2 linked regions of the Oryzias latipes genome follow. The protein of the gene in region 1 binds, or shares a complex with, the protein of each later gene. Links are inferred from orthologs where the notes say so. Each region holds a gene or a part of one and is shown on either strand. Other genes may lie near its edges.

Region 1 (6,620 bases):
TAGAAGCTGGGGAAAGTATGGTGCACTGGGGTTCTGCCCTCATCGCTGGAAGGGCGGCCGACCCCTGATCGGAAGATTGCAGGTTCGATTCCCGCCTTCCTCAACCACGTGATGAAGTGTCCTTGGGCAAGACACTGAACACCACCTTGCCTCTGGTGGAAGGTTGGTGCCAGTGCTCGGCAGCGGAGCCGCCATCAGTGTGTGAATGGGTTTGTGACTGTACAGCGCTTTGGGCCTTTGAGGCAGGTAGAAAAGCGATTTATGAGAATACACAATTTCTCCTCTATAGTTGAATCTAGCCCAGTCTGTTTGGTTTAGTTCAGCTATAACCTATTGAATTCTATGACTTCATGTTCTTTATGATTTTATTTTTATCGTACAATGAAGCCCATTGAGACAGCTATGGTTGTATTGTTGGCTCGTCTCGTGCCCCAAGCCGTCCCCCAACTCCACCTGGATGGAGCCCATCCACTGGACTATTCAAACATGAAGCTGTAGAGTTAGTTCAGGTGCGTCGCCTGTTCGTCCTGGGAGAGGATCCATCCTTCATGTGGACATCGCTGAGGTTTTTGAAGGTCAAACGATCCAACGGTTTACATCCTGTTACTGAGCTCCATCTTTCCACTGTTTGAATACAAACTATTGCTTTTTTAAAGATTTTCCTTTTAGACATTTTTATTCTTTAGAGGAGCACTTGGTGCATAATTGAGGTATTATTAGAGAGAGAGTTCAATAAACAGTTTGTTTTGGGATGTGTATATTTGCTGGAATCTCTTTAGGGGGCATCAGCTGTGATTCAGACTTTAAAGAAGTGCTTCCTCATATTGTCTTACCGATTAACCAGTACGGTCCGTGCAGATCCTCCTCCACCTCCCTGCCTTTGAATGAGGACTCCCAGAGTTCCTGCTCCGAAGTGCTCCCTACGCAGCATTTCTCCACACTCAGGATGTTGCCCTGGGAATCGCATATGAACTGGCTCACCACCGACGTGAAGCCCTGCGCGTTGATGAAGGACTTAAAGAACTCCTTCTCATACGGAGAAGCCCTGATCTTAAACTGGGCAGGAGCCATGGCTCCCAGGACGTTGGGGATTTTGCAGAACTCTTTAATGACGGCGGCGTTTTGAATCCTGGCTTCCGCGGTGAGAGGGAAAGAGATGAACACGTCCGACATCCCCGCGATGACCCCCGATGCTGAGCTGGCGACGCTCGTGAGGCTGGCGTGCAGGCACGAGCCCACTTTCTGCACCACGAGCGGGCTGAACGCGCCATGCGCGAAGTAGTTAAGAGCCACCATGACGAACGCGTCCACCGGAGGCGAGGGTTTCTTGCAGGAGACCGTTTTCATGCGGATTCGAACGGCGTCGACGATGAAAGCGATGCAGGGCCGCGTGAGGTGGAAGTATTCGAACAAAGCGGCGTCGTTGAATTCGTCAAAACAGGTCGAGTTCTCCTTCTCCGCCGCTTCTTCTTCCAGGAGAAGCTCGTGCACCGCCAGCCACACCGGAACAGCAAACGTCATTTTTGTTTGTTTGGAACGTGTATTTGAAGACAATAAGCACAAAACTAAACAACAAAAATGTGGAATACTTGGAAGAGGAGCAGCACCCTGTTATTGCTTTTCTTCGTCTATCAATAAAGTTAACAAAACGCAGCACCAAACTCACTACTGCCCCCTGCTGTACATTTAAAGATCTTTGTGCCAATAACAATAAATGACACACAGGACAATTTTCAAAATGAAACACCAAAAAATCTCCTTATTTGTAATAAAATGAAGTGTAAACAGAAAAGGAGGGAAATAGGACCCCCAATCTTTTTTTAAAATATCTTTTATGCACTTTTGTCATCTTTGAATTGTACAAAAATACAAAGGCAACAATGAAACAACAAGATATACAGTATATATATTATTTTATGTTTAGCCAGAAACTATAAACACAACTTGGTTCAGCTTTGAAACTTTATCTATTTTGTCTAAAATAACAAAAGTTGAGTTTATCTTGTGGAAAAATACCTCATCTTTAATGCACTGAAACATACTGTAAATGAACATATTTAAGTGATATTTTCTTATTGGTATGATGGAAACATCTTGATCAATTAAGAAAAAAAATTTAAAAGGTAAATAGCAAAGTCACAGTGCAAAAGTTACATACAAACCCACTAACCAGACCTGTTAACTTTGCATACAAATTTGCAAAAGCGAACAGATTTGGCATATTACACCATCAGAAAGGTTCCCCCAGATTATTAATAAATGAACAGAGAAACCACAAAACACCCAGCAGCAGACTGTTATGTTTTGGGTGATAAATAAAACATTTTGTTGACATCACTGATGGAGACATCCTTTATTCGAGGTATTCCCCCCTTCTGCAGGCATTCTTCACTCTGCTTTAGTGCATAAATATCTAAAAGACACAAAGAAGACACTTAAAGCTGTTTTCTTGGTGGTGTTTTCTTAATTTTGACATAATATCCGACCTTTTTGACATAAATTACTCACCCTTATTTGTATTCATTTATTTTAAAAGTATATGCTTTTATTATGTGAGGTACAGTTCCTTTTTTAGAAAAATGCAGCTGCAATTAGCGCATGTTAAAGCTAGTTCGGTTGTATTACTCCTAGCAGTGATTTTACTTCCTTTTTTTAAAATTCAATATAATTTCACTTCAAACAGCTTTTCTGTGATTTACGCTGACTGTTAGCCTGCAGCCATAAACTCACCTGTGATGTTGTCCACAGAGTCCAGTGGGGCTGTGTTGCTCATGTTGACCCCAAATAACACCACAACAAACACCAGTATTGCCACCAGCATATATATTGGCACTGCGAGAGCCCAATACCTGCATCAAACATTTCACTTTAAGATTCAAACAAAGGCTAACAAGCCTAGGGTAATCTCATTGTAAAAAGACATAAAACATAAATTCTAACTTGTCATATTGTTGCTACTTACTTTTGAGGCCAATAAGTGAGCCCTATAGAATGAAGCCATTCCTCTGGTATGTATGCCCACAAGCAGTACAGAACTTTGGGAAAAGAAACAGAACAAACATATTTTATTAAGAGAATTCTTTGATACTCTTTTAGGATAGACTTTTTTTTCAAATTGTTCACGAACTATTTTTACTTCTGTTCTGTTACATTATCTTACATTTATGTATAAACATATGTCCTTTCATTTCAATTTATTTTTAAATCTGATGCTTTTTCATACAGAAAGACCATCCAACCAATAAAAAAGACAACCTTTGAGGAAAGTGTAAATATTCATTTATAAGCAACAGAGTTATGTGATATTCCAAATTGAAATCTTTTTAGAATTATTGGGATTATTAGAAGAATTTTCTTTTAAATGAGAAAAAGACAATCCAATTTAAAAGTTAAACAAGACTTCTTCATTTGGCTTAATACAATTTTGCCGACTTATTAAATTGTGTAGTTTTAAGCCTAAATATGAACATAACAGGCCTATTAAAAAAATCCTACTTTTTACCCAAAACAACAACAACACACAACTAGCGTTTTAAAGTAATTTACAATATTTAAGTCACTACCATCCTGCCATCTTTCAGCTGAATTTTTAAAAATATATATAAACACAATAACCTTTTACTAATGTATACCTTGAGATATAAATAACTTAAAAAAAACTAATTATTGAAAGAATTCTATTGAGAAAAAAATCCAAAAAGGCTTGTTTTTTTTAAGTGAAGTCACATTGAATTAATGGCAGTCTGTTTTTCAGGTGGTCAACTATTTATCACCCTAGTAGTAAGGAGATTTAAATCTCCACCGAGAAACGGTTATTCTATTTTAACTCAAGTGAGTCGTCCTGCACATTTACAAATTTCAATGAGATTAGATTTATGGCAACATAAACAAAAGGAACAGAATGTCTTTGCTATATTACCAAGAGCCGTAGAGATAAGTAATTCCACAACATTTTACGTTGAATGACATCTTCTGCAAATAGAACTATGCTTCTAATTTGAAAGAACATGATGTGATGGGACTTAACTTACAGAAGCCAAACTGGGAGCCAAGGAAGAGAACAAACCCATAGATTGCTCTCTCTGGCATAGGTGATGGGGAGTTTTCAACCATGATCTGAAACCAGAACACAAACAGACCATCTATTGGGTAAAATAATCGAAAATAAACAATGACAAAAAGTCACTAAACTTACCGACAGATAATAAGTGTATTTTGGTTCGTAAGAAGAGCAGCAAGTTTACAAAAACCCCTAAAAACAGTTTAAATGTTTCTCAAATAGCTTGTTTATATCGTACCATCAGCTAGGTTCAACGATAGATAAAATCCAATTCTACTATTTCAAACGAAACATAAATAAAAATGTAAAAAGTGCATCTAATCATATTACGCCAAAACCTAGCTGACTGCTGTCAACAAAACGTTAGTCCATCACCTAAATGAGTTCGGTCAGAAACTGTACATCAGGAACAAAAGACTTTAAAGAAATAAAGCAAAATTACATATCAATCTTGTGTTCTTTGTTAGTAATGTATAGATATTAAAAACTATTTTCAAGCTTGAAAAAAGAAAGAAATAAAAAAATCAACGAAGGGAGAACTTTCTGCCGCTCGAACGAATCATGTTACTTTTTTCCTGACGAACATATTTGACTGTTACTCATTCCAGAAGCACCGCAGCATGGCTTCGTGAATGTGAAGGTAAACAACTTGAAACATAATTTTTCCCTGTTTGGGAGGATAATAAAGTGGCTATTTTTGCTAATAGAAACAGTGTGTGCCCTTTATCTGGGATACATATGTATGTGACACAGCGTTAACTGTTTTCGTTTACATCTCACCTAAAATTGGCTTCTTTCAAAAACGTGGCTGTGTAACACAGCAAATACTCCCTGAAGTTTAAAGAAGTGCGACCACGATGTCTAAAATCAAAGGAAAGGAAACTCCTGCTGGAAAAACGCAACAGCTGACGTCCAAAGAAAAAAGGAAGAAGTTTTTTATAAAGCATAATCGTAAAAAACAAACTTCCCAAAAGACTCTAAACAAGAAAAATCTAGAAAATCCTGGAGCAAAGCAAACTGCACCACCACAGGATCCCCAACAGTTTTCTTCCAACTGGAAAGCATTACAAGAGGTTTGTCTGACGAATATTAAACTCTATGCTCTTCATAAGCTGTGCAACTACTTATGTGAAAATGTATTTACTTTTAAAATGTAATTATCTTCTTTGTTTCCTGAACATGGCAGATCTTAAAGAGCAGTCAGCCAGAGAAGAAGCAGCCTGTTACACCAAAACATCGGAATGGTGTCTTCCCTAAGAAGTTTAAAGGAAATGAGCCTAAAAAGTTTCAAAATAAGAGCCCTGCTCCCAGCCAGGTGCACACAGACAGAGAGGGAAAAGTCAAAAGTGGCGATGCCCCAAAGGAGGATGGGGTGAAGGCAAAGATCCACGCCGCCTTAGACAAACTGCAACCTGGTGGTGCAAGGAAAAGGCAAAACGAAAAGACAGACAATGAGAAACCAGCCAAGAAAAAGAAGCCCGTCACTGAAGAGAGGAAACCCACAGAGTATGTATCCTTATTGCTAATACTTGACTTCAGTTCGGGTTTGCCTTGTAATCTTTGCTTGTGCTGCTGTAGGGAGGACCTTTGGTTTGATGACGTCGACCCTGACGATATTGAGGAAACGATGGGAGCCGAGGCTGCAGAGATCATGAGGAGGAAACAAGGCATGAAAACAAGCAAGAACGTAGATAGCGTTCTGGTAAAAGAGAACGCCTTTGATGGGTAAGAGAAACTGTTTTGTGTTCTTACGGTCAAAATGCCACACCTTCATTTGCTATCGATCAACTCTAGTTGAAATTCACCTTTCTTTATAGAGCTCTTTTCCTGTTAAAAAACACCTCAAAGTCTTTTACATAAATAAATAATAATTATATTAGTATTTATAATAAACACATGTTGTGTACAAAAACTAGCAGGAAAAAATAATCCATAAAATCAAATTAAAACATGAGGAAATGTAAAATCGACATAAAAGCTAAACTAAAAAGGTGAGTTTAGGCCAAAGTTCTGCCATGTGGCCTCGCTGTGGGTTTTTGTTTATGACCTCAGGGAGCACCAGCATAACTGGATCTGAGGGCTCTGGGAGGGTCGTCTGCTAACACCAGCTTGATTAAAATTAAAGTGCAATTTCATTAAACTAAGAAAAGTACCTTAAAATCGATCCTAAAGCTGACAGAGAACCAGATATTTCAAATTTGGAGTCCTTCTTTTTGTCCTGATATTTTTTGATAATTTTTGCTCAACAATCATTATTATAGTATATTGTTTTAATCTCATCTGCTGCTCTTCTTCATCATTGTTTTCTTGGTCGGATGTGTAAAAGTGTTGAAAAAGTCCATTCCTAGCAACTCTTTAATCTAGTGGGATACTTCCCGTGTGTGTTGCTCTCTTTGGGCATAAGTATGAGTCTTAAAATCGTCGGATTGTTTCGCAATTGCTTCCTGATGAATATGCAGCCATAGCTGTTGCAGAGTTTATGCTCATCTCAACCTGCAGCAGACTGGCTCCAACAGACTCCCTAAGTGGAAGTAGTTGGAAAAACAGCCGTTGCCTTTTT
Region 2 (6,481 bases), on another chromosome or scaffold:
CATGAGGAGAGTAGGAGCCGCAGTATGAATCCTTCTGTTCGCACATTTGAACATGTTTGTTTCGCTGAAGTCAAATAAAATCAAAACAGTTGAAAAATACTGTGAAAAGTGTTGAAGTTACAGTTACGGGTTTTGTTCATGGATTCTGGGTGTGTCGGTGGGCGGCTCTAGATATGAGGGTGTGAGGCCGTAACCCCTGTGCTTAGATGACCCCCCCTTCCATTGACGTGTTCCCCCTACCATGACAAAGGTGGATAAAGGTGGAAAGATTTCATGTAATCCATGGACACCAGTGAAGATCACAAATCATTGAAGAAAAAAGGTTCAGAGCTCTGTCTAGTGGGTCTAGATGACCCAACTCCCAATGGTAAAGTGCCTAGGATAGAACAAGAGTTAACCAGTGACTGTGTATGGAGACCTGGACTGGGCACGCCCCTCCCCCTGGCGTTCCAAACAGGAAGTATCTGCTGGTTCCAAGAAACCAGAATCCCGTACATGTCTATAGAAATGACCAGATGTTCCTCAGTCATTCTATTGGTCAGAAGAAGCGTTCTGGATCTGATACCTTTTGTTAATATATTCTTAATAATCCTCATTTGCTTTCTTTATTCAAGATCTCAGCTGACCAATCAGATCCCTCAGTAAGAGCTTGTGGTGCCTGCTGCCCCCCACCTCTAACGTTTGACAGATTTTCCTGAGCTGCTTTCAGGTCCTGAGCTGAAGGGGTGTGGACTTCAAACAAGCTTACTTCTGATTGGCGACAGTAGTTGCCATAGAAACGACCACTCGCACCAACCACTGTCGTCTGGCTCCAACATGGCGCAACCGTATCGAGGAAAAACGGCGACTGAATCGGGTTCCTTTAGCTGGAGCTGGGGGTTAGGTGTTTTCTACGGGTGGCTCACCCTCGATCAGTCCAGTTCTCTATACAGTCAATGGTTGAAACCGATTTTCTACTATTTTAATTTGTGATTTTATTGATGTAGAGAAAACAGTTAGGTAACATGGAGCAAGACAAGAATCCAGCCCATCAGGAGGGTTAAAGTCCAAACTAGTGAGAAATGACAAAAGTATTCAGACTTTTGAAACACCTAAAGACTCCACCCACCGTACTCATCTGGTGTACAAATGCTGCCTCCACACAGTGTAGATACTGAAAACGAGTGACTCCCAGCATCATGGAGGTCAGCAGAATGCTTGGCAACCATTAAAACATCTGTAGGACGGGGTGATCTATGTGAAAAGGTTTATTTTTCAGTTTGAAACCCAGACTTCACTCACAGCCAGCACTCATACCCACAACACCAAGCACATGTTCTGTCAAAAAGATTCCCAGAGGAGGAAAATGAATCCATGTGACTTTATAAAGTTCCATTTTCCCATGGAAAGTGGGACTAATCCACTTTCTTTGGCTTGTGATTCATCCACACAACAGCTGCTGTGAAAGCCCCTGCAGAGAAGACAAAAACCAGAGGATCACCGCGTCCGTCTGGCATGAAGACGTGTAGACAGCGGGGTCATGAGGTCATGAGACGGCATACTGACCTATCATGAGGAGCAAAACCACTGCTGCAATGCCCGGCAGGATGACAGAGTACTCACGAGGAAGGAAGTACTGCTGCAGCATGTGGTCACCGTCCATGAACGGCTGCAATTGGTGCAAATCACAGTATTAGAGTCCACCTTTGTCCTACAGATATTTAAGAGGCTCCATCAGGACGTACCAGAACCACGACCCACACAGAGTAGTACGAAAACAGAGCCAGGCTGAACAGAACCAGACCCATGCCGACAGCCTGATCCACTCCAGTGGCCTGAAAACCAAGAGCAGAAAAAGTTCATCAGTGACCCAGCTTTGGACCGGGTCTCAGACTGCGGGTGCCGCAGCAGTTAAAGTCAATGAGTTCTATCGCTAGAGGAGACGTCATGGGATTCTTCATGGGAGGAGAGCACCGCCATCTTGGTGAGGTCAAGTCACTGCTGCAGTTCAGCATGTGAACTCAAAATCCCAGTTCATTGTGCGGATTTCAACTGTCAAAATCGAGGAAATTAGTCCACGAAGCAGGAAGGCAGAACATTTCACAGGTAAGTATTTTAATGTTTTTCTTTTAATGCTGGAGGGGCTTCATGAATAGAACACATGTAGACATGCATGATGCTGCAGGGCTGTTATCAACATGCTGCATGATGTACGGAGAATTTGCTGTCGACATAAATGTAAACTTTATTGTGTTAAACCTATATACAGTATACTAGGACTAGGCTATTATAATAATATAGATTTATACATTTCTGACTCAGACTGAACTTTTCTTGCAGGTTTCTAATAGATTCAGACTTCAGGAAAAAGTGGATCTTAGCAATAAAAAGAGCTAACCCAGATGGATCACTGTGGTACCAACTAGTGATACAGTCTGGATATGTTCAGAACATTTGTGGAACCAGACTTTGATGAGAGGCCAGAATGTTAGCCTGAAACCCGACACCAAGGAATCTGTGTTACACAAACTGATCACTAACATGAATCAGTTAATCTATTGTTTCTCTTTGTTTTTTCAGGGTAAATCTGTTATTGACTTTTGGACTTATTGTTGACTTATTATTGATTTATTCTTATAATTTATTATTATTATTGAATTACTATTTATTATTATTATAATTATTGACTTATGTATATATTGTTATTATTCATTATTATTATTGGCTTCCTATTGACTTATTGTTGGGCTTTTCTAAATAATTTAAATTACGTTTCAAAGAGGTCTAAAACTTCTACATGTTTAAAAATTATTTTTAAAAATTCTTTGTAATAATTTTTTTTGTAAGAAGTCCTGCAACTCTGCATTTTTCATTAAAGTTTGAGCTTTTAATGCTGCCTGTTTCTCTTATTTAAAAACAAATGATGCATATACATAAATGATATACATATATATTTATATATAGGTATAAATATATATAAAAGCTACTAGATGCCACTAAAGGCAATAGAAATCATTGTCACGTGGGCGCTGACGACCTCACCAAGATGGCGTCGCGCTCCGCCACCGTCGGCCAGGCTTCCCAAGCGGGTGTGTCTCCTCTAGTGATAGAACTCATTGGGTAAAGTTTCTGTGGGATGTTCTTCTAACTTCAGAGTAAATAAATACAATGAAAAAGGCCAAACTGACTACAGCTGCGGCTTCAATCTCAGCGTTTTTTCATGTGCGGTGAATAAAAATGTCAGAGACCAAACGTCCGTTTTGTCCGCATTCCCGTGAGGAGAAAACATTCCTGTCGTTCTTCTGAAGGCCGGTTAGGGACCCGGTTAGGGACCCGCGGATCGTCATTAAGCCTTAAGCGTCAAGAGCTCAACGCGAAACTTCAACCTGCTTTTAGGCACAATTCTTCATGACGGCGGCCTGTAAAGGTCAAACCACTGCGACTGTTTATCCCCGTAAAATCATGTTTGTAAAGGGATTTCCTATAAAATAAATTACTTAAACGCCGCTCACCATTGTTGACAGGCGGTAGAACCACGTGACCTCCGTTTTTCCGGTTGGTTTATGTCCGGCTGCAGCTGCAGGAGAAAGTCCCGTGACCGCCCCCTGCTGGTCTGGAGTAACATGACAAATAGAAAAACGTCCCGCCTGATTTTGTTGTTTTTTACATTTTCTGTCTTGTGGGATTCCTGAAGCAGCAAACAGTTGGCGTTTCGACATCCTGGCCATTTGGAAAGGAATATTTTTTATGACTTTAGGATTTGTGTTGAGATTCATGCTGGAGTCTCACAGGAACGTTCATATTCCATAAATCCATTTTCTGCACTAACCCACTTCAACACGACAATCTGGCTCCAAGAGATCGGCTTTAGTCATGGTGGTCATCCTCAGGCAAAGCTACATTATTCCCTGGACTTATGGACCGGACCATCCAGGAGTCATGGACCGGACAACGCTTCTGCAGTGATATGAGTCATCACTTTTTTGATTAAACTAAAGAAATGGTAGTTACTGGTAAACACTCCTACCAGTAGAACCCGCTCATCCACATTCAAAATAATGAAATAAAAACTATCCAATACTTTCATAACAAATCTCTAAGAAACAGAAATCCGTACATGATGAACCTTTTTTTTTAATCCAGGTCAGAAAGTAGATCATCAAGAACAAAGATTTGTTTAAAAAAATAAACAAATACATTTTCAGAGAGCTTAAGTGTCGACATTCCGCTAAATAAATACATAGTTCAGCGATACAGTTCAGAAAAGTTGCTTTTGAGTTCAAAGATTTTAAAATACATGTTTTTAATTTACAATGCAGTCCCAATGTTTAGACCAGCTAGTTGGTGTGCAAACAAGAGCAAATGTTGCAGACACTGATGCATTCATGTTCCTGCAGTGATAAATGCTCTTTGCTGCTGAAAAAGATCATTCATTAAGAACAAACTACAGATCTGACGGTAAAGACATTTGACCACTAAGTATTTGCTCATCACTCATTATTTAATTAGAGTAAAAAAACTATAGAAACACAATCCAGAACTGTTGCCCTAGTTGAGGCCTGGCCTGGGTTGGCCCGCCCTACTGCCAACTCCTGGGGCTACCGGGTTGATCCTGCCAGCAGAATTCACTCGTCTGAAAAATGAACCATCCAAGTCAGTTTGGTAAAGCAAGAACTGACCTGCGTGGAGAAATGAATCTGAATAAGATAGTCAAAACATAGCCAGTTGACAGTTGACAGTTGCTCTACGTCAATGTTACCCTACTTTTTATTTAAATACTTAAGACTAAATAATAATGGATTGATCTGCTTTTCCAGACGCTCAAAGCGTTAACAGTGAGTCCATCATTCATTCATACTTGGTGATGGTAACTACTGATGTAGCCTCAGCTGCCCTGGGGCAGACGGACAGAGGCGTGGCTGACAGTTGGCGCCTACGGCCCCTCTGACCATCACCAGGACATTCATGCACATTCATGCACCAGTGGAGGCAGGGAGGGTGAAGCGTCTTCCCCAAAGACACGACAGTTGGCTGGGGGGAGAGGGGATCGAACCAACGACCCTTCGATCATTGGACGACCTGCTCATCTGCCTGAGCCACTGCCACCCATCCATCCATATATCCATCCATCCATCAAATTTCAGAAGTTTATTCACTTTCCCACCAGAGACAACAACACACTGGATCAAGTCTACTGCAACATCCCAGGTGCATACAAGGCTGCAGCAGCTCCTCACCTGGGCATGTCGGATCACATCTCTGTGGAGCTAACCCCCACATACAGACCTCTGATCTGCAGGACCAAACCAACCATCAAAACAGTTCAGGTATGGACCGAAGAGGCTTCTTCTGCACTACAGGACTGTTTTGAACTCACTGACTGGGAGGTGTTTAAAGATGGCTCAGACCTGGAGGCCTACACAACATCCGTCCTGAGCTATGTGCTGTTCTGCACCGATGCTGTTCTGCCCACAAAGTCCATCAAAGTCTACCCAAACCAGAAACCATGGTTTGATGGAACAGTGCGGTCTTTGCTCAAAGCTCGGGATGCAGCCTACAGGTCAGGTGACAGGCTGGCCTACAGCAGAGCCCGGACAGAGCTGAGGAGGGGCATCAACCAGGCCAAACGCAGACACAGACAACAGGTGGAACAGCACTTTGCTAATAACAACCCGCGGGAGATGTGGAGAGGCATCAGAACCATCACAGACCACAGGAGCAGCATGCAGCAGACCACTCATGACCCCACCCTGCCTGACACTCTAAACACCTTCTTTGCACGCTTCGAGACGCCCGGCAGCAGCAGGGACTCTGGTCCTCTATTACAGCTGGAGGAGCAGTCCCAGCCTCTCGTCCTGCAGCTACATCAGGTGAGCTCCACTCTGAGGAGGATCGACACCAGTAAAGCCGCAGGACCAGATAAGGTGTCAGGTCGGGTTCTGAAGCTGTGCGCACATCAACTGGCTGGAGTTTTCCTGGACATCTTCAATTGGTCCCTGCAGCTCACCTCAGTTCCCGTGTGCCTCAAGTCCTCCATCATCGTGCCGGTGCCAAAAAAATCATCTGTCTCGTGCCTCAATGATTACCGGCCGGTCGCTCTGACACCGGTGATCATGAAGTGCTTTGAGAGGATCATCCTGAACCACATCAAGGACATCATCCCTGCTACTCTGGACAGCCATCAGTTCGCTTACAGGGAGAACCGATCGACAGAGGACGCAGTCTCACTAGCCCTGCATGCTACCCTGTCCCACCTGGAGCATCCTGACACCTATGTCAGGATGTTATTTGTGGACTTCAGTTCAGCCTTTAACACGGTGATCCCGGACAAGCTGACACTGAAGCTCCACAACCTGGGTCTGCCTGCCTCCCTGTGCCTCTGGATCAAAGACTTTCTCACCAACAGGCCCCAAGTGGTGAGAATGGGGGACTCAGCATCATCCACTCTGATCCTGAGCACAGGAACACCACAGGGGTGTGTCCTCAGCCCCGCCCTCTTCAC

Evidence for each region. The genes of interacting proteins can lie anywhere in the genome.
Region 2: pigp (region 1) and dpm2 share a complex: the UniProt entries of both Homo sapiens proteins name them as parts of the glycosylphosphatidylinositol-N-acetylglucosaminyltransferase (GPI-GnT) complex. The link is inferred for Oryzias latipes from reciprocal best matches to the Homo sapiens genes PIGP and DPM2.

The regions. Positions count from the first base shown.
Region 1 is NC_019877.2:8,245,995-8,252,614, forward strand, and holds pigp (phosphatidylinositol N-acetylglucosaminyltransferase subunit P), read right to left. Parts: upstream 4,452-6,620; 5' UTR 4,196-4,451; intron 4,117-4,195; 5' UTR 4,114-4,116; coding exon 4,032-4,113; intron 3,036-4,031; coding exon 2,963-3,035; intron 2,850-2,962; coding exon 2,731-2,849; intron 2,414-2,730; coding exon 2,298-2,413; 3' UTR 1,816-2,297; downstream 1-1,815. Other genes in the region: putative nuclease HARBI1, read right to left, coding at 834-1,521; rexo4 (RNA exonuclease 4), read left to right, coding at 4,918-5,133, 5,247-5,566, 5,639-5,785. UniProt on the Homo sapiens protein: Part of the glycosylphosphatidylinositol-N-acetylglucosaminyltransferase (GPI-GnT) complex that catalyzes the transfer of N-acetylglucosamine from UDP-N-acetylglucosamine to phosphatidylinositol and participates in the first step of GPI biosynthesis.
Region 2 is NC_019870.2:30,337,781-30,344,261, reverse strand, and holds dpm2 (dolichol phosphate-mannose biosynthesis regulatory protein), read right to left. Parts: upstream 3,515-6,481; 5' UTR 3,327-3,514; coding exon 3,228-3,326; intron 1,815-3,227; coding exon 1,725-1,814; intron 1,649-1,724; coding exon 1,546-1,648; intron 1,451-1,545; coding exon 1,395-1,450; 3' UTR 1,230-1,394; downstream 1-1,229. UniProt on the Homo sapiens protein: Regulates the biosynthesis of dolichol phosphate-mannose. Regulatory subunit of the dolichol-phosphate mannose (DPM) synthase complex; essential for the ER localization and stable expression of DPM1.